Oryctolagus cuniculus: one gene and its partner. The protein of the gene in region 1 purifies or fractionates together with the protein of each later gene. This does not show direct contact. Links are inferred from orthologs where the notes say so. Each region holds a gene or a part of one and is shown in the gene's direction. Other genes may lie near its edges. The genes, in order: HSPD1 and SIRT3.

Region 1 (3,802 bases):
ACAACCAGGACTAGAACCACTACTCATGGGATACTGGCACTGCAGGCAGTAGCTTTTACAGCCACAACATCGGCTCCAGTAAATCTTCAAAGGGTTTACTTGCTCATCTGAAAGAAAAAGATTTTCCTTCCACTAGTTCACTCTCCCAAAAACCCACAACAGCTGGGGCTGGGCCAAGACCAGGAGCCTGGAACTCTGTTTGGGTCTCCCAAGTTCTGAGTACTTTATTCTGAGTATGTTGAATAAGCGCCAGGCAAAACTTAAGTATAAGCAATGTGAAGAGTATTGAATCTTGTGATTAATCTTGCGTTGTACACTTTATTATATTATAAGAGGACATTTTTATTCCCTGAGATTTTCATCTCCTATAATTTCATTCAAAGTTCTGCTCTGCAGAGAAGCAGAGGTCAGTTTTTGTAGACTAAGGATCATGATGAATTTGCCCTTGAGACCATGTTGCAGGACTGATAAAAATGATAGAATCTGCATGGAGATTTTTAAGTACTTGTTATTGAAGCTTGCTCATTTTTTAACTCTAAATTTTTAGCATATGAGATCATGTGACATTTTTTCCTGTGCATTTACAGGGGAGAACAGTAATTATTGAACAGAGTTGGGGTAGCCCTAAAGTAACAAAAGATGGTGTGACTGTTGCAAAGTCAATTGACTTAAAGGATAAATATAAGAATATTGGAGCTAAACTTGTTCAAGATGTTGCCAATAACACAAATGAAGAGGCTGGGGATGGCACCACCACAGCTACTGTGCTGGCCCGCTCTATTGCCAAGGAAGGCTTTGAGAAGATTAGCAAAGGTGCTAATCCAGTGGAAATCAGAAGAGGTAAGGATGTATGTGCGACAGCCATGACAAAATCTTGTCACTTGTTGGAAGTAAGGGTTGCCCATTTTGGGTTTTTTGTGCATCATATAATGAAGGTAAATCGTTGGGTGACCCTTTTCAGCGGCAGGCCATGTGACTAGATTAGGAACGACGTGGGAGTAGTTGTAGTGAAATTCTTGAAACTATACACATCTACCTTTATTTAGTCAAGTTCCAAAGCTGTTCTGGCCCTGTGTGTCTTTACTTAGTGTGTAAAGTTAAAGTTACTGTTAACTGCATGTCATTCAACTCTAGTTAGCAATGGCACTAGCACAGAAGCTGTGTATAGACATAATGTTAAGGCATTAACAATATTGTGAATCTATGTAACATGGAAGCCATGTGAGAGTAACTGTTGTAATGACGTACTCATATTCTTGAACAAGGTGTGATGTTAGCTGTTGATGCTGTAATTGCTGAGCTTAAGAAGCAGTCAAAACCTGTGACAACCCCTGAAGAAATTGCTCAGGTAAGGACCTTTTGTATATTAAAATAATAGTTTTTTGAAAACTTAGTACATGTGGCAATGTATTCCATAATCGTCACACCAGTATCGAGTAGCAGCAGCACTCAGTCACCAACATCGGAGTCATTTTTACTTATTGCTGAAACATTTGAAAGAATTCAGTAACTATAATTTGAATCTCGATGATTTATCTTGTTAGTTCTGTATGACCGCAAAATGGATTTGAGCATACATGAAAATGTTTTTAGCTGTTGTCCAAAGTACATTGTTTGTCAGTGTGTTTGTTTTGTTTTGTTTTGTTTTTTTAACTTGACAGAGTTAGACAGTGAGAGAGAGACAGAAAGGTCTTCCTTCTGTTGGTTCACCTCCAAAATGGCCACCACGGCCAGTGCTGGGCCTGTCTGAAGCCAGGAGCCAGGTGCTTCCTCCTGGTCTCCTATACCGGGTGCAGGCGTCCAATTACCTGGGCCATCCTCCACTGCCCTCTGGGGTCCACAGCAGAGAGCTGGACTGAAAGAGGAGCAACCGGAACGGAATCCGGCGCCCCAACCAGGACTAGAACCCTGGGTGCCAGCGTCACAGGCAGAGAATTAGCCAAGTGAGCCACGGCGCTGGCCCCTGTTTGTTAGTTTTAATATCACACATTTACAGAGGAAAAATGAGATGCCAGCATGTTTTTTTTTTAACTGCTGTTGTTTAAAAGAATTGTTTCGTGCTCCTCAAAATAATATAGCCAAATAATGAATTTAAAAAGAATTGTACAGAGAGCCAATATTTTGGTTGAAACTGTTGTATCATAAAATCTCCCTAAATGGAATTATTACTTTGAAAGTTACTAGGACAAGGGTTGTGAATCGAGGACCCTAGCCTTACTGTTTGATTCTAAAGACTGACTTGATTGTTTCAGGTTGCTACAATTTCTGCAAATGGAGACAAAGAAATTGGCAACATCATTTCTGATGCAATGAAGAAGGTTGGAAGGAAAGGTGTCATCACAGTAAAGGCAAGTATGTTTTTGATAGCTTGAATGAAACGTCCAGTAATCAAAACTGAGCGTTCCAAACAAAATCAGTCCATTTGTGGTTCAAATAGAATGTTCAGTGAATACTTCATTTCTTCATATATAATCTCAACGCATGTAAAAAGTGCCCTGTTTACTATTTTTTGATCCAGTTAGTAGTAATTTTTGCTAACTATATAGCTGTAAGAATTTTTTCAAGTATGAGTTTTTGGAGCTTTTGTAGAAGTGAAATTGGATGCAAGTTTGGTGTCTCTTCTGTGAAATCCACATACCTAATTCTTTGGCATTTCATAGGATGGGAAAACACTGAATGATGAATTAGAAATTATTGAAGGCATGAAGTTTGATCGAGGCTATATTTCTCCATACTTTATTAATACATCAAAAGGTAAGAACAAATCAATAACTAAAAATTTTAAGTGTACATTGCTAGTGTACGTCAAGCTATAGGCATTAGTTGGTAGCATTACCTCTAAAAAATAAGTGTTCTAAAAGTAATTATAAGAAATAAAGAAGGAAAACATGAACTTCTTGATCACTTTCGAATTGAAAGTTTTCTGTGTAAATAAATTGCATTGTTCAGTTTGAAATTGTTTAAAAAAGATTTATTGGGAAGACAAGTTAGAGAGAGGTAGAAACAGAAAGGTCTTCCATCTGCTGGTTCACGCTTCAAAGGGCCACAATGGCTGGAGCTGAGGTGATCAGAAACCAGGAGCCTGGAGTTTCTTCCGGGTCTCCTGTATGGGTGCGGGGGCCCAAGGACTTGGGCCATCCTACACTACTTTCCCAGGTGCATTAGCAGGGAGCTGGTTTGGAAATGGAACAGCCAGGATTCAAACTGGAGCCCATATGGGATGCCAGTACTGCAGGCCAGGACTTTAACCCTCTGTACCACAGCACTGGCCCCTGAAAATTTTTTTAAAGATGTATTTATTTGAAAGTCAAGAGTTAGAAAGAGAGAGACTCTCTGAGATCTTTGATCCACCAGTTCACTCCCAGGTGGCCACAACAGCCAGGCTGAGTCAGGATGAAGCAGGAGCCCAAGTACCTGGGTTGCTTTTTCCAGGCAGGGAGTTGGATTGGAAGTGGAACAGCTGGGGCATGAACCAGTACCCATATGAGATACGTGCGTCCCAGGTGGAGTCTACTTGCTACTCTATGAGGCTGGTTCCTGGTTTGAAATTTTGTTTTGTTTTTTTTTTTTGTTTGCTTTTTGTAGGTCAGAAATGTGAATTCCAAGATGCCTATGTTCTGCTGAGTGAAAAGAAAATATCTAGTGTCCAATCCATCGTACCTGCTCTTGAAATTGCCAATGCTCACCGTAAGCCCCTGGTCATAATTGCTGAAGATGTTGATGGAGAAGCTCTGAGTACACTTGTTTTGAATAGGTAATAAGCAGTGTATTTGATACTTCACATTTCCTGATGAAGAACTTG
Region 2 (4,513 bases), on another chromosome or scaffold:
CACCGCCTCCTGGGGTCCTGCCCGGCCTGGCGCGTGTCCGCTCCCCGCACGGCGCCGCCGCCTCCTGGGGTCCTGCCCAGCCTGGCGCGTGTCCGCTCCCCGCACGGCGCCGCCGCCTCCTGGGGTCCTGCCCGGCCTGGCGCGTGTCCGCTCCCCGCACGGCGCCGCCGCCTCCTGGGGTCCTGCCCAGCCTGGCGCGTGTCCGCTCCCCGCACGGCGCCGCCGCCTCCTGGGGTCCTGCCCGGCCTGGCGCGTGTCCGCTCCCCGCACGGCGCCGCCGCCTCCTGGGGTCCTGCCCGGCCTGGCGCGTGTCCGCTCCCCGCACGGCGCCGCCGCCGCCGCCTCCTGGGGTCCTGTCCTGCCCGGCCTGGCGCGTGTCCGCTCCCCGCACGGCGCCGCCGCCTCCTGGGGTCCTGCCCAGCCTGGCGCGTGTCCGCTCCCCGCACGGCGCCGCCGCCGCCTCCACGGACCCCGCACAGTACCCCGCTTTCTCGCCCACAGCCCCCGCTCACTTCTTCGTGTACAGCTCCTCCAGACGGTGCCACACGGCGGCCTGCCCGGGCCCGGAGCTCTGGCTCTGCTGCAGGAAGCCCGGCACGTCCTTCATGACGACGAGAACACGCACGGGAGCCCGACACCGAATTACAACCGACTACCGGGACCGTGGGGATGGCGGCCGGAAATGCTCGCTCACTTCCGGCGCCGCGTAGCGCGGGGCATGCCGGGAGCGCCCCAGGCTCCCCGGAGGCGGCTGTTGCCACGGCAACCGCGCGCCGCCTCGCCTCGGAGCGGAACCCGCCGCTGAGGCGTGGGCGAGGACGGGCGCCGGGGGTCGGCCTGGCCGTGCGGCCTCAGCTCTGGGATCCGGTTTCCCCCGTCAAGCGAGGATGGGGACAGTACTTTCCCAGGGGCGTCTGGCGAGGCCCCGGGGTAAAGGAAATGCATGACCACAGGAGGCGCTCAGAGTATTTCCCGCTGGGACCGCCCAGCGCAGCGCCCGTCTCTCCCTGGACGCACAGGGGCGGGGCCCTCGGGCGGGGCGGGGCCACGCGCCGGGGAGGGGGCAGGATGCGCAGGGGCGGGGCGGGACCAAGCGCCGGCGAGGGGGCAGTCCGTAAAGGGGCGTGGCCACGTGCCGGGGACGGGACGCAAAGGGGCGGGGCCCGCGGGCGGGGCGGGGCCACGCGCCGGGGAGGGGGCAGGATGCGCAGGGGCGGGCCCGCGGACGGGGCGGGACGGGACGTAAAGGGGCGGGACCAAGCGCCGGGGAGGGGGCAGGATGCGCAGGAGCGGGGCCCACGGATGGGGCGTGGCGGCACCTAAAGGGGCGGGCCCGCGGGCGGGGCGGGACGGGACGTAAAGGGGCGGGACCAAGCGCCGGCGAGGGGGCAGTCCGTAAGGGGGCGTGGCCACGTGCCGGGGACAGGACGCAGAGGGGCGGGGCCCGCGGACGGGCAGCGGCGTAGGGCGCGCTGGGGCGTGGAAAGGGGCCGACAGTGCGTGATCCTGTGGACGCGCGTGGCCGCGGAGGAAGATGGCGCTGTGGAGCCAGCGGGTCGTGGCCGCACTCAGGCTGTGGGGCCCGATAGGTGAGCGGGCCGGGCCGGCCAGAGGGAGGCGCCGAGCTCCCCGAGGCGTCCGGGTGCGCGCTGCTCGGGGCGTTTGGGGGCTGGGGTCCGTCCTCGATGCCGCCGTGCGGGTGTCCGGACGTTCCTGAGTGACCGGTCCCGTTCTGACCGCGTCCGTTCTGACCTAGTGTGGACGTTCCTGAGTGACCGGTCCCGTTCTGACCGCGTCCGTTCTGACCGAGTGTGGATATTACTGAGTGACCTGTCCTGTTCTGACCGAGCGTGGACGTTCCTGAGTGACCAGTCCCGTGCTGACCGAGTGTGGACGTTCCTGAGTGACCGGTCCCGTGCTGACCGAGTGTGGACGTTCCTGAGTGACTGATCACGGCCGTGCTGACCGAGTGTGGACGTTCCTGAGTGACCGGTCCCGTGCTGACCGAGCGTGGGCGTTCCTGAGTGACTGATCACGGCCGTGCTGACCGAGTGTGGACGTTCCTGAGTGACCGGTCCCGTGCTGACCGAGCGTGGGCGTTCCTGAGTGACCGGTCCCGTGCTGACCGAGCGTGGGCGTTCCTGAGTGACCGGTCCCGTGCTAACCGAGTGTGGACGTTCCTGAGTGACCGCGTCCTGTTCTGTCGGAGGAGCCCCCGCCTGTCCTGCCACGGCCGCCCTTGACGAGTCCCCTCGTGTGCACCCCAGCTTTCCGGCGGACTTCTGGGCCTGGGGCTCCAGGTGGGGACGTCAGGAGCCCCTGGCGTGGGCACTGCACCTCCCTCGCCGCCATGGCGCCCGGGCGCTTGTCCAGGAGCCGAGCTGAGTGTCTCTGAGTGACAGTGCCTTCTGACGCTGTCTGCCTCAGCGTGCAGTGGAGACAGCCGGACGCCGGGTCGGGCCCCCACTGCGTGTCCGGCTCTGTGCTTCTGGAAGGGCCAGCGGCCAGGACGGCTGCTCGCTTCCTTGAGCTGATGCAGGGCCGGCCGGTGGCCGTGCCCCTGCCTGCGCTGGCGTCAGAGCCGAGCGGTCCTTTGGGCTCTTGGAACTTGGGTCCTCAGCTTCAGGTTGTGGGGCTCTGGCGTGGATGTCCCTTTGCGTCTCTTAGTTGGCACCCGTGCCTGGCTCTCAGGGTCGCCTCCGGCCACTACCCTTAGAGCAAGGTGCCGGCCGCGAGTCGTCCGCCCGTTTTCCTCACGTGCCTGAGTGAGGAACTCCAGGCGGCAGCGGGCACACGGCCGTGGTCTGGGTGTCCGCTCCCTGTGTTTCTTGTGGTTTGCATATGGGCGGAGCTCAGCAAATGCCCTCGAGTAGACAGACGGCCTGCTGCCAGGTGGCAAGTGGGGGAGGGGCCGCGGTGCGGAGCCGGGGCTTCCCCTCCCGCCGGCTGCCGGTTTTCCTTGGAGACCTCCCTGCGCGAGCTCAGGGCAGGTGCCTTGCTGAAGTGCTTCACGCACTCCTCTTATAAAAAGCTCACTTTGTGTACGTGGAAGGCAGGATGACAGCAAGGGACAGAGAAAGAGGCCCTCCATCCACTGTCAGTCTTCAGTGGCCTCAACGGCTGGGGCTGGGCCAGGCTGAAGCCAGGAGCCTGGAGCCCTTCTGGGTCTCCCATGTGGGTGGCAGGGAGCCAGGTAGTGGGCCGGCCTCCCGGGCTTTCCCAGGCGCTCCAGCAGGGAGCTGAGCTGGCAGCAGAGCAGCTGGGACTGGATCCTGTGCTCTGGTGTTGCAAGCCACAGCGTCACCCGCTGCGCCACCGCGCTGGCCCCCTCGCGCCCCTGGGATGAGCAGAGGGAGGCGTGTTCCTCCCTGCTGGTTGTGCTTTCTGGGGGGATTCACCGCTGTCGTCTTTGTCAGCGAGACCAGCAGTTACCCCGTCTGCCTGCCTTTGTCCGTGACAGCTGAGGTGCAGGGCGCTGGAGGGACCCGACCCCTTTTGCGCCCCCTCCTGCAGAGTGTGCCTTCCATCCTCACAGGCCCCACCTCAGGGCTGCCCCCTGGTCTGTGGGGGCAGATGGGTGCCTGGATTACACTGTCGGTGGCCCAGCCTGAGTGGGAGGCAGGTTGACGGGAGCCAGGACTGTCCTCTTAGGGAGGAGGGCCAGGGACCTCTCACTGGGATTTATCAAGGAGCTGGCATTGGATCCTGGCCTTGGTTCTGTGAGATTTGGACTTGCTGAGTGGACCAAGGCCTGTTCAAGCAGAGAGTGTTGGGTGGGGAAAGGGCCTGGGAACACGAGGACTTAGGGGACGCAGAGAAATCAGGGGGGCCTTGTGTGCTAGAATGGGGTGCAGAGCAGGCAGTCCTGGAGGCTCGAAGCTGTCACCAGGTGGACGTGCCGGCTGAGATGCCAGGGCCCGTGGGGAGCAGAGCTCTGGGGGAAACCGCAGCGGCAGTGAGGTAGACTGGTTCACCGGGAGACTGCGGTGTCCATCCCGTAAGGACCAGAAGGTGGAGAGCAGACAGAAGTGCCCGTGGTCATCCTCCTAGAGGCGTCCTGTTCCTGTCTCCGACAAGTGTCCCAGCACGACCTGCAGGTGTGCCCTTGTGCTGTGCCGTTTTTGTGTCTGCGCTCCCTGGAGGCCTTGTTTACTTGCTGAGGTGAGGGTTAGGGGCTCCCGTTGCTGCAGGGGGCTGCGCACTGCAGACGGACTTGCCGTGGCGGAGGCGCACTGTGCTGGAAGACAGAGGTGGCTGCGAGGGTCCTGAGCTAGGGCAAGTCGCCCTGGTGACCCAGGAGTGAAGACGGGGTGCAGTCCAGGGCCTCCGAGCCAAAAGCTGAGCCCCAAGAAGCCGTTTAGCACCTCCTGTCTCCTCTGGCCGCAGACCTCAGCAGGACCTTTCAGGAGCTGCTGCAGGCGCCGGGATATTCGTGCTGCCTCTGTGTCCTGTTGCGGTCCTGGGGCTGAGTTTATAAAGCAACTTGTGAGTGCTTACTGTGTCTGTGCTTAGT

What was found.
Region 2: the proteins of HSPD1 (region 1) and SIRT3 purify together in Homo sapiens (affinity purification with mass spectrometry; 3 studies listed by BioGRID and IntAct, counting the BioPlex papers as one, with this or other methods). This does not show direct contact. The link is inferred for Oryctolagus cuniculus from reciprocal best matches to the Homo sapiens genes HSPD1 and SIRT3.

Annotation. Positions count from the first base shown.
Region 1 is NC_091434.1:42,767,566-42,771,367, forward strand, and holds part of HSPD1 (60 kDa heat shock protein, mitochondrial), read left to right. Parts: intron 1-587; coding exon 588-840; intron 841-1,265; coding exon 1,266-1,348; intron 1,349-2,252; coding exon 2,253-2,348; intron 2,349-2,660; coding exon 2,661-2,754; intron 2,755-3,585; coding exon 3,586-3,754; intron 3,755-3,802. UniProt on the Homo sapiens protein: Chaperonin implicated in mitochondrial protein import and macromolecular assembly. Together with Hsp10, facilitates the correct folding of imported proteins.
Region 2 is NC_091432.1:24,830-29,342, reverse strand, and holds the start of SIRT3 (NAD-dependent protein deacetylase sirtuin-3, mitochondrial), read left to right. Parts: upstream 1-1,518; 5' UTR 1,519-1,534; coding exon 1,535-1,589; intron 1,590-4,513. Other genes in the region: PSMD13 (26S proteasome non-ATPase regulatory subunit 13), read right to left, coding at 513-607.